Linked DNA regions of Astyanax mexicanus. The protein of the gene in region 2 purifies or fractionates together with the protein of the main gene of each other region. This does not show direct contact. Links are inferred from orthologs where the notes say so. Each region holds a gene or a part of one and is shown on either strand. Other genes may lie near its edges.

Region 1 (7,463 bases), about 18 Mb from region 2:
GCTCGACGCTGACTCATCTTTTGAGACAGGGCGCGGGTGGGGGGGTGATGGGCCCTGCATTGTTTAATATCACCATATACAGTATACTGTTAAAAAAATAACATTTGCAATGTAATTTTTTTCTAATATTGTGCAGCCCTACTGTGTGTTTCAGCAGTGAATGCAACTTTCAATCAATGCAGCATTTATTAGAAGGGATGTCCACAAACATTTGGACATACTTTATGGTATGACATTCACTAGAATGAATAAAAGCAATTAATCTAAAATGATTAGTTTAGTTTTTAGATTCATTACAGGCTCAAAAATTGTAACTGTTTAAAATAGAAATTGTAATAAAATACACTGACATACCAAAAGTAATTTACAGAAATTTGTATCCCATGACTTTTGGCATGTCTTTTGGAAGCTAAAAATACTGCACTGACTCTCTGCATTAAATGTTTATGTGACTTAGCCTCCGCCTTTAACCCATACATTCAGTGAAAACACACATTTTTGTGAGAACACGTGCCCAGAACAGTGGGCAGCTGGTGCTTTCGGCACTCAGGGAGCAGTGAGGGTTAAAGGCGTGTATTGAACCCACAACCCAGTGCTCTAACCACTGAGCCACCACTGCCCTAACTGTCTGTTCATATGGACAATTTTACTCAGAATCCTGTACACTGTGGGTGGTAATGCCTTCTATGAGGTATTTCCAGTTTACAAATGACTGCACAATATCTGCACAATCTAAGAAATGGAATGTCCTGTCTTCCACCTGGCACCCACTATCAGACCTCACTCCAACTCTGATCATAAACATTGCCTTGCTATGAGCATGCTGACCACTGTTCAACCACACTTACCTCAAGATAGCACCTCACAACTTACACAAGTAAGGGCTATCCCACTCCTCCTAAGATTTTATGATTAATTTGCATTCTTCTACACCATCTTTTGGCATGTTATTAAAAATGAAGTACATTAGACCATGATAAAGCATTTTCTGTTTGATGGAATGTAATACAATCTTTTTCACAGCATCCACACATACATATGACACAAACACATACACTGGAGAAAGTCTAGATCTATCCCACAGCTCAATCTTAAAGGATCATTCCTCACGTTAAATTAGCCATGGCTGGAATTCCTCACTGACCTTTGCATACATGAATTAAAATGCTACGTGACCATCGCATATACCCAACACGCCTTGCCAATACTAAAACAACCACCCTACAGCTTTTCCTTTAAGAACAAATCACAGAAAACACATTTTCAGGGACTTTTCACACGATCTGAGTTTGAGATAAACAAACCGTTTGGCAGCTCTAAAACGCAAGCAGCTCAAAGTGTGAGAAACTGAAGTCTAAAAGAAACACTGCAGATTACTACTGAGGTCAGCAGAAACATTTCATAATAGCTTCATACTTCATCACTGATGCCTCAATAATGATCATGGAACATTCTCTGAAATGGAATGCTTGTTTTGGAGCAAGTTCAAAGGCCGATGTTGATCTGTGTTACTATCAAATGATAACATCTATTGTACAGAATAATAACTTTCAAATAGGATAAAGCATTCTGATTCTATAGAGATGTATTACTGTCAATCAAAATAACAATACAAACTTCACATCCTTACTATATACACTTCATGTTTATGACATGAAATATTATTATAAATTAATTCTAAGAATGTATCATATTATGAGATATTTTTGTATAATTATGTCAAAGGACATTTTTTAAATTACCTTACCTTATTATAAAATAAAAAAAGACATTACACAATCCTGACAGAACATCCTGAAATTAAGATTAAGTATCTCTTTATGAGCTACTTTTTTATATTAAAATAAAATGACATGTTTTATTTATGTCAAAGAACATTTTTGAAATGCCAAAAAGTAACTTATTATAAAATAAAAAATGACATGCCATAATCATGACATAGAATATCTCAAAATTACAAAAATGTATCTCATTATGAGCTTCGTCTTTGAAAACAAAAGGACATATTTGAAATTCTGAGGACATATCCCATTATGGGGTATTATATCATAAGAATTATTATGAAGAATTATGCATTTTTTTTTTATTATGTGGAAATATTGCAATTATGAGATAATATGAAATGATAACAACAAATGATGTGCCATAATTTAGAAATAAGCAATCTGCAATTATGGGATAAATATCTCCTTATAACATATCATATTTTTTTATAGCTATATATAATTATGGCAGGCTAAATTTGAAAATGTTGTTTTACTGTAATAATATAAAATGTATAGTGTCACAATTACGGAGTGATATTTTTATGATGTCTTATAATATCCCACTGATAATATATTGCAAAATTGTTGTTTTAATATTTGAAGGGACACAATCGCCACAGCATATCTCTTAAAAATAATAAATAAATAAATAAATAAATGCAATAAACAGCTTCGTAATGTGAATATGGACAGCCTAAATCTCTAATCCAAAAATACTTTTAATATCAAAGTACTTTGACAGCTTATACCCCTTTTAAGAAGATAAAGTAAAGTAACGTTTTTTAAGATTTTTTTTTTTTTTCAAAAACATTAAAAAACAAACAAGGACATCCAAGATCATTTAATCATACAACCAAAAAGTTTTACGAGCTAAACAAAACATTTATATTTATATTCTTTATATGTCATTCATCAGCAAATCTAACTCCCTCATGTTCTTAGTTAGGCAGTTAAGAGAATCAATAAACAAATCAAATTCAACAAGAAATAGATTTAAAAGGGTTTACCTTTTTGTGTAATGTAGCTACTTGATAACTTTACAGAATTAAAATTAGTATAACGTACTAAAGCGTTACGCGCATGCGCAGTATGGACAGGCTGTCTGCAGAAATGTTATTTATAAATAAAATGAGCTAGAAAACAGAAAAGGATAAATATTGAGGGCCTAGAAAGATAAATGGGTGAATAAAATAAACACATCAGCAGCTCCGACAGTAACTGTATAAAATAAAACCGTGTATTATAATAGACTGGCTGCCCGCTCTGCTATTGGCTGCTGCGGGAGCAGCGCTGTGTGTGAGCGGGTGAAGGGTGAAGGGTGAGGCCAGAGTTGCCAGGTTCGCAGGTTTCCCGCCAAATTGGGCTTTTTTGAAAATCCAGTCGCGAGTAAAAATCTTCCTTGGATTACAACAATAAAAACCAGGAGAATATAACTATGGGAACTAACCCATTGCAAAGACTTATAATTAAAAACATTACTATTGCATTTAGATTTTATTTTTGACATTTATTATGCAGTTCATCACGAAAAGGCAAGGCCAAAATAAAGCTTAATTTTTTCTTTTCACAATTACCTTTTTTATTTTAGGTTTATTTTTTTATTTTGTGAAATACTCGTATGCTAATAAAATAAATGGCAAAAAGCCTTTTCAATTTAATTTTTTATTTTTGTCACTTATGACCCATGCTCAAGAGAAAAAATTAAATTACAAATGAATTGATTAAATTTTGTTTTTAATTTTGTTATAATATTTTCACACATGTTTGGAAAAAGAAAGTGCAAAACTGTATTTGCATTTTCATTTTAGTCTTTTCATTTAAGTTTTATTTTTGGCAGGATTTACCTCCCATGCATAATGACAAATAAATCAATGTAACTAAATATACAATGTAATCAGAAATCACAAGGCGATGAAAAAAATGTTAAAGAGGAGAAAAGAGAGCTCAGGAGGGACAAGAACAGAAATGAGTAAGTAAAAGTTTTTTTTTTTTGCTAATTATGTAACAATTAAATGTTCTTGACTGGGATATAAAACGGTTAAAAAAAATAACTAATAAAACACTAATTCCTTATAAACAAAATACTAAGTCGTCCACTCCATGCTAGGGGTGGGCGATATGGCTCTAAAATAATATCACGATATTTCAGAGTATTTTTGCGATAACGATATACCTGGCGATAGAGGAAAACTAAAATAATTAATTAATTTCAGGAATATAGTATAACAGTATAACAGAATAATCATAATGTGGCAAAAATAAATAATGTAGCATAAAATAATATAATGCAGCAAATAATATTGCAGAATATTTAGTGCATGCATATAAACTAGAAACTAAAACAATTACACAATAAATACACTTAAAGCTTCACAGTAAATAATAGGCTACTTTTAAAACAGAACAGCCCTATTACCACGATATGGATTTTTAATATCACGATATTTCTGTGTCACGATATATTGTATACGATATAATATTGCCAACCCCTACTACATGCTTAAAACGTGTGACAAACCTATATTTTGGATTAGTTTAATCTTCTGAAGGGCAGCTTTTAAGACTGACTTTGGGCTGGATGGTTTGGTTGGACCTGGCAACCCTGCGGTGAGGCGGGGGTTTTTGGATGATAAGCGGGATTCAGCGGCTCAGAGCGGCGAGTTTCTTTCACCTCAGTCCGAGAAGAGCTACCGGTTATTTACTTAAATAACCCGCTGCTGTTATTATTATATATATATTAGTGTACTGAGCGGGTATGGCCGTTAACTGATAGTTTGCGGGCGTTTTATCGAGTTAGCTTAGCCTAACTGGGCTGTTTTCTATCACACTGCAGTCACAGGTGGTTAGCTGAGCTAGCGTCAGTTAGTCGGTAGTTTTGGCGGACTGATAGTCTGTTCTGCTCTTTATTGAGCGGGACTGTATTATTGTATATGTTTAGCAGAGTTTGGAAGTGTCTCCACTCTTCCTCAGGCAGAGTTTTGGTCTATTAAAGCTGTTTAAGTTTAGTTAATTTATTAAATCACTCGTTAGCCTAGCTTACTCACTGGACTAGCTGTGTGTGAGTGAGTGAGCATGGCTGAGAGACCGGAGGACCTAAACCTTCCCAATGCTGTGATCACCCGCATTATCAAAGAGGCTGTGAGTAAACTTACCTAAACTACATACCTACCTTCCTACACACTGCTGTGCTTAGATTAAACATTTTTATCTAGTTAACCTCTAAGTCTAATTTCTGATATAAGTAAGGGTTTATTTGCAGTTTAACTCTATATATGCTAATTTAACTGATGCTACTGCCACCTGTTAGGTTGCCCACTGTTACTTGCTTACTGACAGACTCTTAACCTTAACTTTAATATTAATATACCATGTAAAAATGAATAAACTAGATAAACAAAAACAATTGAATGAGATGGTGTATCCAACCTTTTGACTGGTACTGTACATTTACCTCTATGTATATGTAAATGTAAATATGCCTGTAGCCATAGGAGCATATAGGGCTGGGCGATATGGGGGGAAAAAAACATCGTCATGATATAGTTTTCCTTATCAGTCAAAATCACGATATAAATCAAATCACTTTCTGTCACACTTAAAGGTTTCCTTTTACTCGTAAGTAATTTTAGTTAAAAAAATATTTAGTCAGTAATTAACAAATGAACATTAGAACGTTATACAACTATATAAATAAAAATAAAACACTCAAATCCTGTAAATTCAAAGATCAGATGTTACAGAATAACAAAGTGGGTGTTTCAATTCTCTGTTAAATATTCACAGAACAAGTTATATCAAAATTTTATCATCTGTGGCTTACATTTCTATCAATCGTTTTATCGCACAGCACTAGGAGCATACCATAATATCCATTTTGGTTTCCAGCATTTTATTTAATAAACCAAACTGTTTTTGTACTAATGTAAAATATGACCGTTTACATGAAAAATTTCCCTCACATTTACATGAATTTTATTCTCATTATTTAATAACACAGCAGTGTATGTATTGTAAATATACACTTTGGCTGTGAGTCTCATCAGCTTCAGTTGCGGTAGACCAGAACAACTGTGTGAAATGTAATTTTCCTTTTGTGTTGCTTTTGTAAGTTGCCAGATGGTGTAAACGTGTCCAAAGAAGCAAGAAGGGCAATATCTCAAGCAGCCAGTGTGTTTGTTCTCTATGCAACATCATGGTATGTCTGAAGACCACAGAACAGAACTTTTATCTCGCCAAATACAACAGTAAGTGTGTGACTAATCAATTTTTAAAAATATATTTTATTTCCAGTGCCAATAGTTTCGCTATGAAAGCCAAAAGGAAGACGCTCAATGCCGGAGATGTGATGTCGGCTATGGAGGAGATGGAATTTGAACGTTTCTTGCCACCCCTGCGAGACGCTCTTGAAGGTAACTGATTAGGACTCTCACAATACATTTTTGTTTGCTGTGGCACTTTGTAAAGCCTGTCAGACGTTGTGCTGCATATTGTTAAACAATATAAAAAAAAAAAAACATAAACAGCAGTTAACCCTGAGTAGTTCATCTTTACCTTTTTTATTGATCCGTTGGCCATTAGACAACTAGCTTTAAAAAGTGCTGTTTGTTCTTATGCAAAAAAGATGCAAGTAAACACAGTGGGTAATACTGAGGTCAGCAAAAGTGACCTCCATATATTAAATGATACCTTGATAACACAATTTTCACAAAAGGCCTGTAACTGATGAGACATTTCATATGTTTTTTTAGTTGGGGTCTCACATAGTTGTATACAGTGTATAGATATGGTGTTGAAAAAGAACCCTGACATGTAGTTGCAGGATTTAAATATTTGCTCTTAGAATTTTAAAAGCAGCCATTGATAAATTGTGTGTCATGAACAAACAGTCTGTAGTGACAGTCTTCTCCAGTCATCTGATAAGTGAATTATATTTATATGTATTTTTTGTTGTTGTTTAATCTTACTAAAACTGCTAATTCTGACTTTTTTAGCACATTTATTTTTAAGGGTGTACTATTACTAGTTCTAGGCTTATTTTTGCCTGTTTTGTTTATCAGCCTACAAGAAAGGACAGAAAGGCAAAAAAGAGGCATCAGAACAGAAGAAGAAAGACAAGGAGAAGAAAAACGGTACAGAAGAGCACGACAAAAGCAGAGAGGAAGAGGAGGAGGAAGAAGAGCACATGGAGGAGGAGGATGGAGAGAACGAAGGCGAGGAGGAGGATGTGGAAAATTAAGGGGTACAGCAATTTAGCAACAAGCCTAAACAGACTAAGGAGCCTGATAGTAATGTCCACGTTCTAGATGAAATTGGAGAGGAAGAAGAAACAGCTGTCAGCACTTGCTTGGTCTAATTAAAAAAGAAAGGTGTATCTGTACAAATCTGAAGGTAACAAAAGGAGTTCACTATTCTAACATGGCACTGATGTATTGTGCTATATTCCCTTCCCTACATTCTTTGACTGGTTCTAATAATAGAGTCTGTGTTGCAGAGATACTGGCTCTACTTGTAGTTGAACAAGAGTACATTCACTGTGTATATTAACTGTAGTGCCACAAATATGTGCAGTGGGGAAAGAAAATTAGGGAGTATAGATTGACCAAGCTCTGCTAACTTGCCTAACAATCATTTGAAGCTAGTATGCACCAGGTAGAATAGTGTAAATTGCAAAATGCTAATTGGTGGCCATTAGCTTTT
Region 2 (7,319 bases):
GACTCACTCTCCAACAGACAGCAGGTTCTGTTTCTCATCCTGTTTGGTGCGGGGTCTCCCCATCCGCACCTTCAGGGGCGATGTGGGGGATTTCTGACTCGCTGGCTGGACGAAGTGAGCAAAGAGTTCAGTCTGTTTCAGCAGGAACTCAAACCTGTTAGCCCTGTCTGCTTTCTACAGAGAAAGAGAGAGAGAGAAACAGAGAAGGAGATAAGGTAAAGTGTTTTCATTCACACAGAATTGACAGTGATTCCTAGCAGTATTATAACACTCGTAATTAACACTCACTCTTTTTTCTTCATATTCAGGGTCCACTGTGCCTTCTTTTATTGCTGCTTTTGGAGGGGGGCCCAGCAGGAACGGAGGATCCTTCACACATACACAAACACAAGTCACATAAACCGTCCAATTTTATACAGGACCAGACCAAGGACATGCCACTGCTCATTTAATGTTTTTTTTCTTTTATTTATACAGACAGAAGTTTTCCTGCTGTGCTTTAGGCATGTAGCACCTCCACCGGTGTCTTGTTTACTAACTGCAGGGTCATCAGCTGGGGACCACCGCTCATAGATGTTTTGCTCCTTAACCCAGAACACCTCCTGGTGGTGGCGCAGTGAACAGGGACGTTTTATTATTTTCTACATTGTAGATTAATAGTGAAGACGTTAAAACTATGAAGAAACTCATATGAAATTATAAAATAAAGTGTGTTAAACAGGCCAAAATATGTTTTTTTCTTCAGTGTAACATCTTTTGCTTTGATGCCAACTTTGCTTACTCATTATTCTCTCATTCACTTCATTAAGGTAGAACTAGGAATGGTTATTAAACTGTCTTAAAATAATAATAGTAATAATAATAATAATAATAATAATAACAATAATAATAATAATCATTATTATTATTATTGCTCTCATAGTAGTACAGTACTAAAAGCAAAACTAATACTATGCAACATTGTGATTTTTTCACTGCCCATGCCATAGAAAATTGTCATCTTAAACTAATAATGAGACCGGATGCAAGTGCAGGCAGAGCTTATACCACACACAATCCAAAAGACAGATAAGGGTCAAATCACGGGCAAACAGGGTTATCAGAGGACGATGTTGAGACGTAGTAAAAAATCAAAGCTTAAGGTCAGAATACCAGATACAGAATAGACATAAAACACTCAGAGCTAAGAGTTCAAATAAAATACTCTTAACTGGGGCTCCTTTATAGAGCCTGTTAATAGAGTTCAGTTGAGCAGGGTGGGGTCGATGATCAAAACTCAGGTGACGCCAAGCGCTGTTAGGGTGGAGAGGGTGGACTAATACTGTTCAAGTGAAAAATTATTATTACTATTATTATTACTAATATTCTCAATATTTATAGTAGTACAATGGTATTAGAAACATTAATATTATGCAATATTGTGGTAATTTTACTGTTTGTGCAGTAGAAAATATTGTAATACTAATACAAGCGTATGTTTTATAAACATACTACTGCTACTAATACTACCAATACTACTACTAATATTTTTTGGATTGATTTATTTGTACACTTCACTTTAAAGCAAGGTTTTCCCAATACATTTAGAGTATTCCCCCAGTAAAACATTTCTCTGGAAAATCCCTTTAAAATGACAAGAATAGACTAATAAAATAAATGAAATGTGTCCAGAAAGAACCATAAAACAGATTATACAGCTCTAAAAAAAATTAAGAGACCACTTCAGTTTCTGAATCCGTTGTTCTATTATAAAAACTACGGACAACATTTCTCCCAAATGCCAAATAAATTATTGTTATTTACAGCATTTATTTGAAGAAAATGAGAAATGGCTGAAATAACAACAGCGAAGCAGAGCTTTCAGACCTCAAATAATGCAAAGAAAACAAGTTCATATTCATAGAGTTCAGAAATCAATATTTGGTGGAATAACCCTGTTTTTAATAACAGTTTTCATGCATCTTGGCATGTTCTCCTCCACAAGTCTTACACACTGCTTTTGGATAACTTTATGCTACTCCTGGTGCAAAAATTCAAGCAGTTCAGCTTAGTTTAATGGCTTGTGATCATCTATCTTCCTCTTGATTATATTCCAGATGTTTGAAGTTTGGTCAAATCAAGAAACTCATAATTTTTAAATGGTCTCTTATTTTTTTCCAGAGCTGCATTTTTTAAAAAAATGTACAGTTATAATATAACGTTACACCTTTAAATCCCAGAATTACTACAGGCAACTTTTGATATAATATATAATCATGAATAATGATATAAGTAGTGGAGCATATAGCTAACGTTATATATCATTTTTATTGATTACTGTAATTACAGTGTTACTCATGTGGAAATTAGGTGTCAGGTTTAAATTCAGCTAATTAAAGTACCAATATCAGACTGACCTCCTGAAAGAAACCAGAATCACACAAACTAAATTACCAAGAACGAAGGAGCTATTTAATGTGATAAATCTGGGCCTGGGAGTCTCACCCAGCAGCAGCACGACAGACAGAGACAGAGTTAGGAAAGCTGGAGACAGATGTTGTTATATAAATCTGCGTGTTTTGGTTTAGTTTATAGTTTGTGTTGGGAAATGTTTAATTGGTGTATTTCAGCGCTGAGTCTCCAGCGAAATTCGCCATTTCTGTGCTGTAGAAAACTTGTGCTTGCTGTGGAGGCTGAAGTTGGCTCCATATTGGCATGTTCCGTTCCACCTTAAAAACTACTGTACTGGGCCAGCGCGCTCAGAACAGGCGCCAAAGCCTAACCGCCGCCCAGTTTAAGGTGGAGCGGAAAATTCGAATATGGAGCTGGAGAAAAATAACACAACTTCAGCTCTGTGACTTCTTGTTGTTTCTGCGGTTAAATGTCCGATTTACCTTCTCCTTCCCGGGCCCGGGCTCCCCAGAGGTTGACGGCACCTCTTCATCAGACATGTTTAGCCTCTCATGAGCCGCTCAGCGAGTTTCACACAGAAAAACACAGCTCGCAGCCGCAGCTTCAGACATGGCAGGCATACGCCCCCTTCAGCGGGAAATATCGCGATGGTAGAGCCCCGAAGTACCGCGAGATTTTGAAATGCATTGATGTAAACAAACCCTCAAGTCTGATTTACTCTCGTTAACCCCTTAACATGCCGGCGTTTTTGTCAAATTTCTGCCTGATATTACACAGCTATATCTTCACTCTTAAACGTGATTTTGTGTTTTAGTCAGGAGAAGAAATATAATCCAGTTAAGTGAACTTACCGGCCAGGACAACTCAATAAAATGAGTTCAGAGAACTTCAATCTGAAAACTTAAAAATGTTTGTTGAGCCAATGAACAAACGTGATTTCAACCAACTTCTGGTATACTATACGTGTCAATGCTCTTTTATCAGCGTTTATATATGTTTAGGAAAGGGACAAGGTTTGCTGCCTCTGATTAGCCATAGGCTCATGAAAATTCATGAGCTATAAAATGAAGTATATTCTGAGAAGTGTTTTTGATAAAGGTGATTTACAGGGGAAAAAAACAATAAAATAATTTTGACTAGTGGAACAAAACATGTTAAAAACGGCTTTTTACCCAATTGTTTCACAGTCAGTGACATAGAATGCAGTCTGGAGTAGTGAAAAGGAAATGTGGGGAAACCTCCACAAAATATTACATACTACAATGAAGTCTGTAGGGATTTTATCCACAAAAAAGAGCCGATAAACACAAATTGCAATGTTGATCAAAGTAAAAATGCATACCACAAAATATTTAAATATGTACATGGAGTTTTTTCCCTAACATATGAACCTAAGCCCCACTGAGAGAAAAAAGTGATGAAAAGTAATATAATTTCCAAAGAAATCTCAAGAAACATCCAGGATTTGATGTGGTTTATTACTGTAGGACACGGGGTAACCAAACATTTCTTAATTAAAAGGAATATATATAAATGTGGACACAAGTGGACCATATATAAATAATAATAATAATAATAATAATAATAATAATAATAATTATAATAATAATAACCAACTTATAATAGCTGAGTTTAGTCTAATGTCATTGGCAGCTTATTTTCCATTGGCCTCTGTCACAATCTATTTGCATACTTGGTATAAATGATAACTTGACTGAGTTAAGTTGAATGAACTTAACATGTTATGTATTTACAACTTAACTGAGCCAAAGCAAAATGATAACTTTTGAAGTTAAGCCAATGAATTTTTTTTAGCAGTATTAAGGATTTCCCTTTGAGCATTACATATAAAATTTTCATGTTTGATAAAAAACATTATTAAAAATATTAGCTGTAAAAGTAATTGAAAAGATTTTAAATTATTTGTCAAGTGAATATAAGAATTATGAATGAAAATCACAAAATTGGCACCTTCCTGAACTTTTAACATTTTTAAATAAATATTTCCCTAAATATGAATTAATCATTTCATGTCCTCCAAACATTTCATTTTGTTACAATTGTCTTCTTTTTATGTCTATTTCAAACATGCAGAATTTGGGGTTGATTCCTCTCAAAACTGATATTATTATTATAAATAATTATAATTATTATCTTAATCATTATAAATTATCAAGAGTACAGAGTGAACATGCAGCTTCTCCAAGTGGTCTGTGGGAGAATCCCTACAAAGCTCACAAAGTTTTAGAATATAAATAACTCATTTTACTGCAGAAATAAAGGGTTTTGTATCTACACTTGTATATTACCAGCTTTTTTTCTTTACATTAAGAACTAGGTAAGACTCAAATTAATTTAGAGACTAAACTATTACAAAGTACAAATGAGATGTTGTTTTGCAATATTTAAATAATTGAACAGATAACTTCATTATCACAGTTTGAATGTATTCCTCTGTTTTACCTTTTTATTACTGTGTTGTAAATAGCTTTGGCGACTAGAGGGCGACAAAACCAGCTAATTCTCGAGTTTGAATGCTTATTGTTATTTCTAAACTGTCACTGGCTTTAAATGAGCTAGTGGGGGTATTTAATTTATTTTTCGATGTAATTAACATTTGTTAAAGACTTTCAAATTATTATTATTATTATTATTATTATTATTATTATTATTATTATTATTATTATTATATATATTTTTAGTAGTAGTAGTAGCATTGGTTGTATTACTTGTAGTAATGGTAGTTGTATATTTATTGGTATATTTTATCATTAGTGTAGTAGTCTAGTTGAATGTAATTATTCATACTAATAGTAGCTCTAGTACTAGTAGTAAGAGTAATAGTGTAATAATAATATGATTATTCTTAACATAAGCTGCAGTAGTAAAATAGTCGCAATAGAAGTGCTAGGGGTATAGCACTATTTAATGCTTAATGGTTGTAGCAATAATGGTAGTACTATTACACTAGTAGTAGTAGTAGAATAGTATTTTTAAAACGAGTACTAGTACAATTGTATTATTATTATTATTATTAGTAGTAGTAGTAGTAGTATTAGTAGTAGTAGTAGTAGTAGTTACAGTAGTAGTAGTATAATAGTATTTTACAACTATTATTATTAGTAGTACTAGTACAATTGTACTATTATTATTATTATTATTATTAGTAGTAGTAGTAGTAGTAGAATAGTATTAGTAGTAGAAGTATTAATACAATTGTTACTTATGGTAGTAGCACTACACTAGCTGTAGTAGTAATAGTAGTATGACATATGTCATATAAAGCACAGTTCCCATCTCCTTCTCTGAGTAACAGATGGCCCAGTAAACCATTAAAAGTGGCTTCGCAGCATTTTCCAGACAGACACACACATATACACTCACACACACACACAGGGTCATGTGCTACTGTGTCACACTAATAGGAGGGTCATCTCTTCCCAACCAACCACCCACCCACACACACATACACACACACAAAGAAGGAAAAAAGAACATACACACACACTCAACACTGCATGCAAATACGTACATGTCCTCTCTATCTCTCTTTCCAATTCATTTACAAGAAAGCTTAGAAAAACACACACACACACTCTCTCCCACTCCTCTGGCTCTTCTGGAGAACTATATCTATCTTTCTTTGCCTCATCCCTTTCCCCTCCCCTCTCTCTCTCTCTCTCTCTCTCTCTCTCTCTCTGATCAGTGCTAGCTAGTTAGTTCCTCATCTAGACGCTGGAGGCTTCACACAGGATTTGCTCTGTGTTCAGTCTACACACACACACACACACACACACACACACAGAGAGAACACATACACAGAGACACATGGACACAGACATGAGCTCAGGGGACGTGGTGTGTACCGGATGGCTCGTCAAATCCCCGCCAGAGAAAAAGCTCAAGAGATACGTGAGTAAAAAAACTGTTGTGTTTAGTGTGTGTGTGTGTGTGTGTGTGTGTATGTGTGTGTGTGGTATGTGGGTGTTCCTGTAGATACATTCACTGTGTTAAGACAGATAAAGGCTTAATACCAACCACGCCGATGCATCACTCACTGACACGCTGAAGAAAAACCCTGTGCCCTGGTACCCTGAGTTTACTGGGTTTAGTGTGTGTATGGGTGTGCGCGTGCGTGCGCGCGCGAGTATGAGGCTAGCAGGTGCTGCAGTGCTGTATCAAACCATCATCAGCAGCTCACTGGCCTCTAAAAACACACCCGTCATGCCTTGCTTTTGATAGTTCAACTGTGTATGTGTGTGTGTTTGTGAATTCTGGATGCCCTAAAACTGTAACTAGCTAATTTATGTATTAATTATACTAATCAGTACTGACAAGCCTTCATTTATCCTATATTCAGTTCATCACATCACAGTCTCACACCACCTAAATCATTGTTGCCCTGCTGTGTTGTGGGTAAACATGTGCCTTAACCCTCTATGGCATAGTGTTGCCCTCAGACAACAAATCCAAATGGTTGGGTATTACCCCATACCTTAATTATATTTAAAAATATATAATGTTAAAAGGCATATCTACTTCAAATGCAATGAGTTGTACAATTGGTTCATAAATACAAATATGTATATGTGCAAGAATGTGTAAAAACATTTGGCTTCTTATATTCTTATTATATTTACTTACTAAAACAGTGTTTTTTTCATCTGTTGTCTTTGGGCAACATTATGCAGGTAGACCACTCCTAAAACATCTGATTAAAATAATCAGTTTCTTATCAAAAAAAAAAAATAGATTTGATAGAGGGACTAAAATGGTACTCCCATTTTAGTATGGATGTAGTCAGTTTTCCAAAACATGTGTGGTTTCTTTTTCCCTGAGGCTAATCCTGCTAACAAGTAATGGAAGATTCTCTGATTATACCCCACCAATTAGCTTTGTGCTAACTATAGCTACATGCCTAAAAAATC

What was found. Proteins that work in one complex are often made in the same cells at the same time.
Region 1: the proteins of smarca1 (region 2) and pole3 purify together in Homo sapiens (affinity purification with mass spectrometry; 3 studies listed by BioGRID and IntAct, with this or other methods). This does not show direct contact. The link is inferred for Astyanax mexicanus from reciprocal best matches to the Homo sapiens genes SMARCA1 and POLE3.

What each region holds. Positions count from the first base shown.
Region 1 is NC_064408.1:17,396,902-17,404,364, forward strand, and holds the start of pole3 (DNA polymerase epsilon subunit 3), read left to right. Parts: upstream 1-4,379; 5' UTR 4,380-4,838; coding exon 4,839-4,904; intron 4,905-5,875; coding exon 5,876-5,961; intron 5,962-6,056; coding exon 6,057-6,175; intron 6,176-6,823; coding exon 6,824-7,002; 3' UTR 7,003-7,463. UniProt on the Homo sapiens protein: Accessory component of the DNA polymerase epsilon complex. Participates in DNA repair and in chromosomal DNA replication.
Region 2 is NC_064408.1:35,518,027-35,525,345, forward strand, and holds the start of smarca1 (probable global transcription activator SNF2L1), read right to left. Parts: upstream 3,034-7,319; 5' UTR 2,931-3,033; coding exon 2,874-2,930; intron 370-2,873; coding exon 289-369; intron 175-288; coding exon 8-174; intron 1-7. Other genes in the region: gab3 (GRB2-associated-binding protein 3), read left to right, coding at 6,220-6,303.